Linked DNA regions of Saccharomyces cerevisiae S288C. Changing the gene in region 1 together with any one later gene gives a genetic interaction. Each region holds a gene or a part of one and is shown in the gene's direction. Other genes may lie near its edges.

What was found.
Region 2: mutations in YBR196C-A (region 1) and MCP1 together harm fitness more than expected from each alone (negative genetic interaction), as found in Saccharomyces cerevisiae (one large-scale study listed by BioGRID).
Region 3: mutations in YBR196C-A (region 1) and ACA1 together harm fitness less than expected from each alone (positive genetic interaction), as found in Saccharomyces cerevisiae (one large-scale study listed by BioGRID).

The regions. Positions count from the first base shown.
Region 1 is NC_001134.8:613,378-615,862, reverse strand, and holds YBR196C-A (uncharacterized protein), read left to right. Parts: upstream 1-1,689; coding exon 1,690-1,839; downstream 1,840-2,485. Other genes in the region: YBR197C (uncharacterized protein), read left to right, coding at 7-660; YBR196C-B (uncharacterized protein), read left to right, coding at 1,233-1,337; PGI1 (glucose-6-phosphate isomerase), read left to right, coding at 1,963-2,485.
Region 2 is NC_001147.6:766,275-769,612, reverse strand, and holds MCP1 (Mcp1p), read left to right. Parts: upstream 1-1,835; coding exon 1,836-2,744; downstream 2,745-3,338. Other genes in the region: WTM2 (transcriptional modulator), read right to left, coding at 1-1,204; HER1 (Her1p), read right to left, coding at 3,048-3,338. UniProt on the Saccharomyces cerevisiae protein: Recruits the lipid transfer protein Vps13 to mitochondria thereby promoting vacuole-mitochondria contacts. Involved in mitochondrial lipid homeostasis.
Region 3 is NC_001137.3:239,484-243,132, reverse strand, and holds ACA1 (Aca1p), read left to right. Parts: upstream 1-1,631; coding exon 1,632-3,101; downstream 3,102-3,649. Other genes in the region: MEI4 (Mei4p), read left to right, coding at 3,359-3,421, 3,510-3,649. UniProt on the Saccharomyces cerevisiae protein: Transcriptional activator of promoters containing ATF/CREB sites. Can independently stimulate transcription through ATF/CREB sites. Important for a variety of biological functions including growth on non-optimal carbon sources.

The DNA.
Region 1 (2,485 bases):
CAAATAATGGGAGTGAAGCAAACCCCACCAGTCCAGGTGAAAGTAAGCGACGCGGATTCCACCAACAGAAGGAAATCTAGTAGCCAGGAAGGAAACCCTCAGCTGGTTCAATTAAAGGCAAAGAGCGACAAAGATAAAAGAAAGGGATCTTCAGATTCCACTGCCTCTATAATGGGCAGTTCCAACGCACTTCCGACCAAAAACCTAACCACGCCTCCAGCACTAAACCCCTTAACGACCAGCATTAGTAGGGGTAATACTGCATACGAAAGAAGCGTAAATGGTAGCCGTATAACAATGCACTCAAACCTGGCACCTACGGAGACGCAAGACGTATCATGGTCTGAAATCGATACACTGGATGATGTGAAGAAGATGGCGAAAGAACCTATCGTCAACGACGGGTTCCCACGAGATTTTGAGAGCAATCTCACGCAAATGCGCAAGTCGCACGCTCAACTACTGCGATTAATGAGGGAAAGAAATCAGCGACTAAAGTATGCCAAGCTGAGGAGCCCTCCTCATAAGGATCAGCATAATTCTGCCACGAATAAAGATCAAGAACCAGACGAGGTATTGCATGACCCGGAAATCGCACTTGACGGTGAGAAGTACGTGAGCCAAGTTGTCGATACTATTAAAGATGTTCACCGATGCTGATGACATGTATGGGTTGAAAATATTTAGAGGATGCTAAAAGTCCCGTCTAAAATAGAGGAAGTCATGGATTACATTATCACCTTTATTGTCCTGTTCCGTCTGGCTAATTTGGGACGAGGAACGTTTGTCTCCATTCGCAACCTTTTGAAACCATATGAACGGCGGCTAATCTGACAGATGTCTTATATTTCTAGGATTGTAGAAAGCCTCCTCATCAAACCACCTTGTTTGAAAAAGGCACTAGTGCGGTTGCTTTACTTGATCTAGTATTCTCCTACCTTGGAGCGGTCCCATATCAACTAAATTCAGTTTTCTGACTGAGTTAAAAACTAATGTAGCGACACCACTTCCATTGGTGCCTCCGTTATTTTTTTTTTGTATGTTAATGCTAAATAATACACCGCTATGTATTTCAGGGCACTACTTCTACACATCAACGGTACTAAACATTTCGCTCAAGATCGGTCCGCTTTCACGTATTTGGATGCTATGCAATGTTGACTATTCTTAGTGGATAACATGCGGCATTTCCTGGCGGCTATTTGCATCGCTATGTAAGTGGCAATGTTCGGATGTGGGTAGTACTTTCAAAAGAAAAAATATTACTGAAGAAGGCATACTACGCCAAGACTATTTTATTCTCAGCACTTGTCCTACGTGGGGTTAGAGGCGAGTAAGACTTTGGCCCCGCTGCGGAAGCAAAGAGAATTTTGCCATCGGACATGCTACCTTACGCTTATATCTCTCATTGGAATATCGTTTTCTGATTAAAACACGGAAGTAAGAACTTAATTCGTTTTTCGTTGAACTATGTTGTGCCAGCGTAACATTAAAAAAGAGTGTACAAGGCCACGTTCTGTCACCGTCAGAAAAATATGTCAATGAGGCAAGAACCGGGATGGTAACAAAAATCACGATCTGGGTGGGTGTGGGTGTATTGGATTATAGGAAGCCACGCGCTCAACCTGGAATTACAGGAAGCTGGTAATTTTTTGGGTTTGCAATCATCACCATCTGCACGTTGTTATAATGTCCCGTGTCTATATATATCCATTGACGGTATTCTATTTTTTTGCTATTGAAATGAGCGTTTTTTGTTACTACAATTGGTTTTACAGACGGAATTTTCCCTATTTGTTTCGTCCCATTTTTCCTTTTCTCATTGTTCTCATATCTTAAAAAGGTCCTTTCTTCATAATCAATGCTTTCTTTTACTTAATATTTTACTTGCATTCAGTGAATTTTAATACATATTCCTCTAGTCTTGCAAAATCGATTTAGAATCAAGATACCAGCCTAAAAATGTCCAATAACTCATTCACTAACTTCAAACTGGCCACTGAATTGCCAGCCTGGTCTAAGTTGCAAAAAATTTATGAATCTCAAGGTAAGACTTTGTCTGTCAAGCAAGAATTCCAAAAAGATGCCAAGCGTTTTGAAAAATTGAACAAGACTTTCACCAACTATGATGGTTCCAAAATCTTGTTCGACTACTCAAAGAACTTGGTCAACGATGAAATCATTGCTGCATTGATTGAACTGGCCAAGGAGGCTAACGTCACCGGTTTGAGAGATGCTATGTTCAAAGGTGAACACATCAACTCCACTGAAGATCGTGCTGTCTACCACGTCGCATTGAGAAACAGAGCTAACAAGCCAATGTACGTTGATGGTGTCAACGTTGCTCCAGAAGTCGACTCTGTCTTGAAGCACATGAAGGAGTTCTCTGAACAAGTTCGTTCTGGTGAATGGAAGGGTTATACCGGTAAGAAGATCACCGATGTTGTTAACATCGGTATTGGTGGTTCCGATTTGGGTCCAGTCA
Region 2 (3,338 bases), on another chromosome or scaffold:
CCGGAGCAGCCACTCGAACTTCGTCTTCGTTGTCATCGTCGTTTCTTGAAAAAGAGTACTCCATGTCCCAGTGGTAGACATTACCCGTTCCTCCAACCGTAACAAATTCTGTTGCAGAGGTTTGTGAGAACAGGATATCGACAACGGAATCGCCGCCAGAATGGAACAACTTGGCTATTTCGTTTTGGATCGGTTCCTCGCCGTTCTGCCTATGTGTGAGGTCAGTAGTAGCCAGTTGCACAGCACGCGCATCCCATAGCTTGATGACACCCGTGCTGAACCCAGTGACAAATAGGTTTTCAGTAACTTGAGAGGAATCGAAGGACGTTAGTCGTCCATTTTTCGGTTCGCTTAGCGTCCAAAGCGGTTTGTCCGCTGTTCTTGTGTCCCAGAATCTTAAAATGTTGTCATCTGAACAAGATGCAAATAAATGGTTGTTAAAAAATCTAACTGAGTGAGCCACGTTGGTCCCTGGAACGTGCACTGTACGTAATATATCTCCCGGTCTATCGGAGTTGTCGATGATTTTCAAGATGCTGTCCTCCTCGTAGCCGTTACTTTGTGACTTTACTACCGTATCCATATTTGTCGACACATCAAAATCTGACACTGCTAATGAACCTGGTCTGGTTAGAGAGTGAATACTAGAGTATCTAGTAGCAGGGCCCATCATTTCCTGTACGATATGAACGGGAACCTTGATCTCATCTCTGAACCATGCCAAAGAGCCGTTCTTGGACATCGCGATCGCCGTACTGTCGTCTGAGCTTTCCAAGTATTGCATTTTTGCCACTGTTTCGCCCTGGTAAATCCACTTTGGGCGCAATGGTTTCCCCTCAACATCTTGGAAAGCATCACCATACTCTGGATTTGGGGTGGCTGCAGACTTCGTCTTGCCGTTACCTTCTTCGTCGTCGTCGTCGTTGTCGTCGTCGTCGTCGTCGTCATAGAATGTCTTTAATGGTAAAGTAGTGTCTATTTCGTAAATATCACTACCTTGAGAATATAAAAGACTAGTCGTCAAGGTGCCCTTGGATTTGTCTGGAATAATCTCACTTCTCCATGTCAGTGTCTTGCTAAAATGTAAAACATCGTCGACTCTTGTGCTGAATTGTGGTTTAAAGCTAGAAATGTGTTGGTATAAAGAAGGTGCCGGTTTACGGCGTGCTCCACTCGCACCCTGACTGGATTTGCTTTTCGCCATCCTCTATCCTTTTTAGTTCTTGCTCCCGTCGCTACTAATTGCTCCTTGTCTTATAAGTAAATGTAGCTGTACAGCAGAGATGTTCCATACGTCAGCTAACTAATTGCCTTTAATCTTTTTTTTTTTTATTTTTTTTTTTTTTCAAAAACAATAGAATTGAAGATGTGAGATGGAAAGGGAAATCAAAGTGCCATAAATGGTAAAGGCTTGCATTATGACCCGAATGGGTAAGAATGATCCAATGAGAGTCTGCGGACGCATATGTGCGGAATATGACTTAGCAGTTCGAACCCCGAACGGGGCTAAAAAACCAAAAGGACAAACCTTATGCGGAACATCTACCATCTATTCAAGGGAGTATAGCTTCCGTGTAGACTATAGAAGAAGCGTTCCAGTCAATTCTACTACATCAGTCTTCCGACATCGCTGATTGTATCCTAACCAGGTCCACAACTAAAATTTGTTTTGAAAAGAGTGGCTAGAGAGCGAATACGTGCTCTGTAATTGTGTGAGGCAAGTTGGTCGTCAATTGGAAAATAAGTAAGGAAAACCTTGTGTAGATTGTATTGCTCCTAACAGGTCCCGAATTACTAGGGCATATACCAGTTAGCCCAGAGTTTTGTTTATTACGATGATAAAGTTGCATGAAGTGCCTCCAGAACCAGTAGACCCTGCTAGTCTCCCTCATGATGTTAATGCACATAGCCCCGAAGGAGATGGTAATCCTGATAAGAGGAAAAAAATATTTGGCATTCCGTATCCTTTTTCCAGGAGTTCATGTCGGAGATTCCTTTGGAACTGTCAAAAGATTTCGGTACTGCCCATGGCATTGTATTTCCCACTACATGCAGCAAATACATTAATCACGCCGGCAGTATCACCTGATTCTGCTCCTGACGACGTTTTAATGATGGTGAGAGAGATTTTACCGTCCATAACTACCAAGCTGTTAGTTGCGGGTATTACTCTTCATGTTTCTGCTGGTGTCTTGCTCCGAATCGTGAACAACTGGAACAAGCCAAGAAGAAATAGACATCGACATTTAAAGATATCGGCCGAACAAGATCTATCCCAAGATTCGATTGGTTTAACTGGTGGAATTTCTGGCTATTTATTTGGATTGTATAAGACCTTCCGCATTCCTCCACAAGTGATTAGTGGATACATCCTTGTTCCCGTCCTGATATACCACTTATTAATTATGAAATGGGTGCCGAATTCCATCTCTACTGAGGTGGATTTCGCCTCTATAAAGCAATTACTATCTAGCAAGAACAGGTGGTGGAAATGGCTTGGAGGCCTGGTGCCGTTAGCTATTCTCCTCGAGTCAGGTGTATATCATATAGGTTCGGGGCTCTGCCGTTATTTCGGTGTTAGAAAAATGACTAGCAGGAAAAAATGGTCCACAGCTATCAATCTATTAACACTCGTTGGGTTCGTTTCTCTGATTAGATTGATGAAAGAGGATTCTACGAAACTGGGTCCCAACCAATTCGAAAGCATTTTCAAAAAGATCCGGTTGCTGTTGCACGTGAATTAGGAATCCTTGTGGGAGTAGTGTGAAGCTATTAATTTGCGACAATTCTCGAACAGTTAATTATATTATTCTCAGTATTTATTTTAAATTTCTGTATTTTTATCTGATTAATAACATTAGTGTGCATAATGAAGGCAAAAAATTTCGGCAGAAAGTATATGATTATGAAAAAACGTAAAATACATATACACATAAAACGTACATACATATATAGATTCCTAAGAATACATTATTGATGGGATATTTATACAAAGATGCACCTTCTAATAATCGAAAGAGAAAGGAAAGACAGAAGCATAAAATAATTTAGGTTTTACTGTGACGAACATTAGACAGATCGTTCAATAGTTTGTCATATTTTTTTGTCACTGTTTCATCTTCAACAAGGGGCCTCTGCAAAGGCGCCTTTTGTTGTGATTCTTGTAAACTGTCATTACTCGGGCTTCTAGAGTTCAATTCATCTCCATATAATGATTCCAATCCAACCTTTTCAGAGGTAACATTTTTAATCAGATCATCTACAGAATCAATACCCTTAGCTTTAATAATGGCATCCCTTAATTCGGCACCGGTAGGAATCTTTGGTAAGATTTTTGG
Region 3 (3,649 bases), on another chromosome or scaffold:
CGATTGCAAAGTCTTCAATTTCCTGGAAAATAGTAGCCTTTTGGTCCCACGAGCCCAATTACGTAGACAAGATTCAATCGCTTTGTTTAAGCGGAGATAAACTTTCACAAAAAAGATAATGCACACAAGCCAGATTTTCATTAAACACTGTAGAAGGTGAAAATGTCGCGTGACAGTATATGTAAAGGCATATAATAAGGTTTCAAAAGCAGAAAGCGCAAAATATCAAGGTGCAAATTATTGCTTCCTTTGGTTCCATCAGCCTCTTTCTGTACGTAAAAAACAACATTTGCATGTACATGTTTTCTAAGTTAATCTGCGACCCAACCCGAATAGCTCTCTTTTACCCTTATTTTCAACCGTCAGCCCCTCTTATTGGTTGGAACGCCTCAATATCAGAGGTCAAAGTCAAGATATCTTGTTATCATCGGTGTTAGTGCCCAAATTGCCAATTGAACGCCTCTATCAAACTGAGGAACAAACCAGCGCTCGCAAAGGAAAACGCGTTTTCTTTTGGCTGCTTTTCTTTCGAAGTGCAGGAACGAGCAGTATTTGGTTGCCATTGTGCGGCACACCCAAGCACACAACGATGCGCTAGGCCAATTGATTCATTACCGTTGGTGTTTCAGGTATTCGTGCTCATCAACGTGACTATTCAGCAACTGAATTAAACTGCTCTTAATAACTTATGTGCACCGTAAGCCAGTCAGTGCTAATGAAGGAATCAATCAGGAGTCGTACAGTGCGTAGGCACACTTTTTTTCCGCAGCTGTTTACTAAGGGTTGTGTAACGTCTGGGTGTGGAGGGGCAATTACCGTAAAGATGCTCTCGAAATTACAATACTACGGTACTTTTCCCCACGGAAAGTTGTATCTCGGAGTTAAAAAGGGAGTGGCACGAGATTCATACAATGGCGTGCAGGCAAAATGATTACTACCGAAATCGAAGCAAGATGATGTTCAACCTTAGGACATCGAAGCTGTACCTCTGCATGAAGTAAGCAGAACAAGGCAAAGTTTAGTTTTTCAATGCTCGCTTCTGCTGGCACTGTTAGTTTGCAGCACATGAGTAGCAGTGGCGCGATTATATCCCCGTTGGGCCATCAAAGCGCAGCTTTTTGTGGTATCAGATAAAATAGTGGTACGCTAAGGCTCTGCGTGAGGAGTTAAGCAATATGCCAAGTATTACTTTGTAGACTTAATTTTAAAATGCTCTTAATTTTAATTTCTATTTTTCTATTTTCTATTTTCTATTTTCTATTTTACTTTTTTTCTTTTTCTGGCTTTTTTTAGTAGTGATATATAATTAGTTTTTCATCTGAAAGATATTTAGGGCACCATTTTCTTTTGTTCTTAGATGCAGATATTCTTTGGCGATTTACCCTGGTGGTACAGAAGATTATGTTACATAATTCATCAATTTTTTTTATGTTAGTTCATCTTCAAAATCTGCTTTAACTGGTTATTATTAAAATATAGTAAATCTAGATCTCTCAATCTGAGTGCTTACCGACTAAAAGCGCAGAAACTGTATTCTTATTATTTTTTTTTTTTCACGGCAGCTAATTGTACTGAGTTATATTAATAGTACTGGAATAACACCAGGTAACGACTAAGGAACCAAATAAAGTATGGACTATAAGCATAATTTTGCTACAAGTCCAGATTCTTTCCTAGATGGAAGGCAGAACCCACTCTTATATACAGATTTTCTATCTTCAAACAAGGAGCTTATATACAAACAACCATCGGGTCCTGGTCTTGTGGATTCTGCCTACAATTTTCATCACCAAAACAGTTTGCATGACCGTAGCGTGCAAGAAAACCTGGGTCCAATGTTTCAACCCTTTGGCGTCGACATCAGCCATCTTCCCATTACCAACCCTCCCATTTTTCAAAGTTCTTTACCAGCGTTTGATCAGCCCGTGTACAAAAGACGCATATCTATCTCCAATGGTCAGATTAGTCAATTAGGCGAAGACTTAGAAACGGTTGAAAATCTTTACAACTGTCAGCCTCCGATCCTATCGTCTAAGGCGCAACAGAATCCCAATCCTCAACAGGTGGCAAATCCAAGCGCAGCCATATACCCAAGCTTTAGCTCGAACGAATTGCAAAACGTGCCACAACCACACGAACAAGCTACAGTCATACCCGAAGCTGCACCTCAAACAGGTAGCAAGAATATCTACGCTGCAATGACCCCGTATGATAGCAATATAAAGCTTAACATACCCGCAGTAGCAGCCACTTGTGACATTCCTTCTGCCACGCCTTCTATCCCATCTGGCGATTCCACAATGAATCAGGCTTACATCAACATGCAACTCCGATTACAAGCTCAAATGCAAACTAAGGCATGGAAAAACGCTCAATTGAATGTGCATCCATGTACTCCAGCCTCTAATTCTTCCGTTTCCTCTTCTTCTTCCTGCCAAAACATTAATGATCATAATATCGAAAATCAATCCGTCCATTCTTCAATTTCCCATGGCGTTAATCACCACACTGTTAATAATTCCTGCCAAAATGCCGAGTTGAATATTTCAAGCAGCCTTCCATACGAATCGAAATGCCCTGATGTCAATTTAACACATGCCAACTCAAAACCACAATACAAGGATGCCACTTCTGCACTGAAAAACAATATTAATAGTGAGAAAGACGTACATACCGCGCCCTTCTCCTCTATGCACACTACAGCAACCTTCCAAATAAAGCAGGAAGCTAGACCCCAAAAAATAGAGAACAATACTGCAGGCTTGAAAGACGGTGCTAAAGCTTGGAAGCGTGCAAGGCTACTAGAACGAAACAGAATTGCCGCTTCCAAGTGTCGACAGAGAAAGAAAATGTCACAATTACAACTTCAAAGGGAATTTGACCAAATAAGCAAAGAAAACACAATGATGAAGAAAAAAATTGAAAATTACGAAAAATTGGTTCAAAAAATGAAGAAAATTTCGAGGTTGCACATGCAAGAATGCACAATTAATGGTGGTAATAATAGTTATCAAAGCCTTCAAAACAAGGATAGTGATGTTAACGGGTTTCTGAAAATGATTGAAGAAATGATACGCAGCTCCAGTCTATATGATGAATAAAAGTATTGCGCATACTTCTTATGGGAGATCCAAATTCCCAGTACATTAGTTTGACTCTCCTTCCTTAATGTTTTCCTCTGTACGATTATTTATGTTTAAACGATTTATTTTACTATGTATGTATTTCCTTTCATTTTCTTTCGGAGTCATATATATTGCTGGGCGGCTAAATGTTTCCGACTTGTAAAAGAAAACATAACAAACATCTTGTAGTTGTGAAACAGTTTCATTAAATAATCTTTTAGAAGAGTAAGGACATGAGTAGAGGCAAACTGGAAGATATGGAACAAAAGGAAACATCGGAAGTTGACTGGATAATCGTACGTGAAATTGTCACATCCTTAACCTATTTTCTCTTTACTAACTTTTAGTAAGAGGTGTAATCTCCTCGAATATTATCTATGACAGTGTTTTGCTTTAATTCAATCCAGGAATCCTACGTTGTGGAAGAGGGCACTTTCAAGAAAGAAAGGAGATGTCGAAGATGTAGGTGCTCTCAAGAGTGAAAAAAATTTAAAAATAAATCCTCGGGAAAACTCAAAACATAT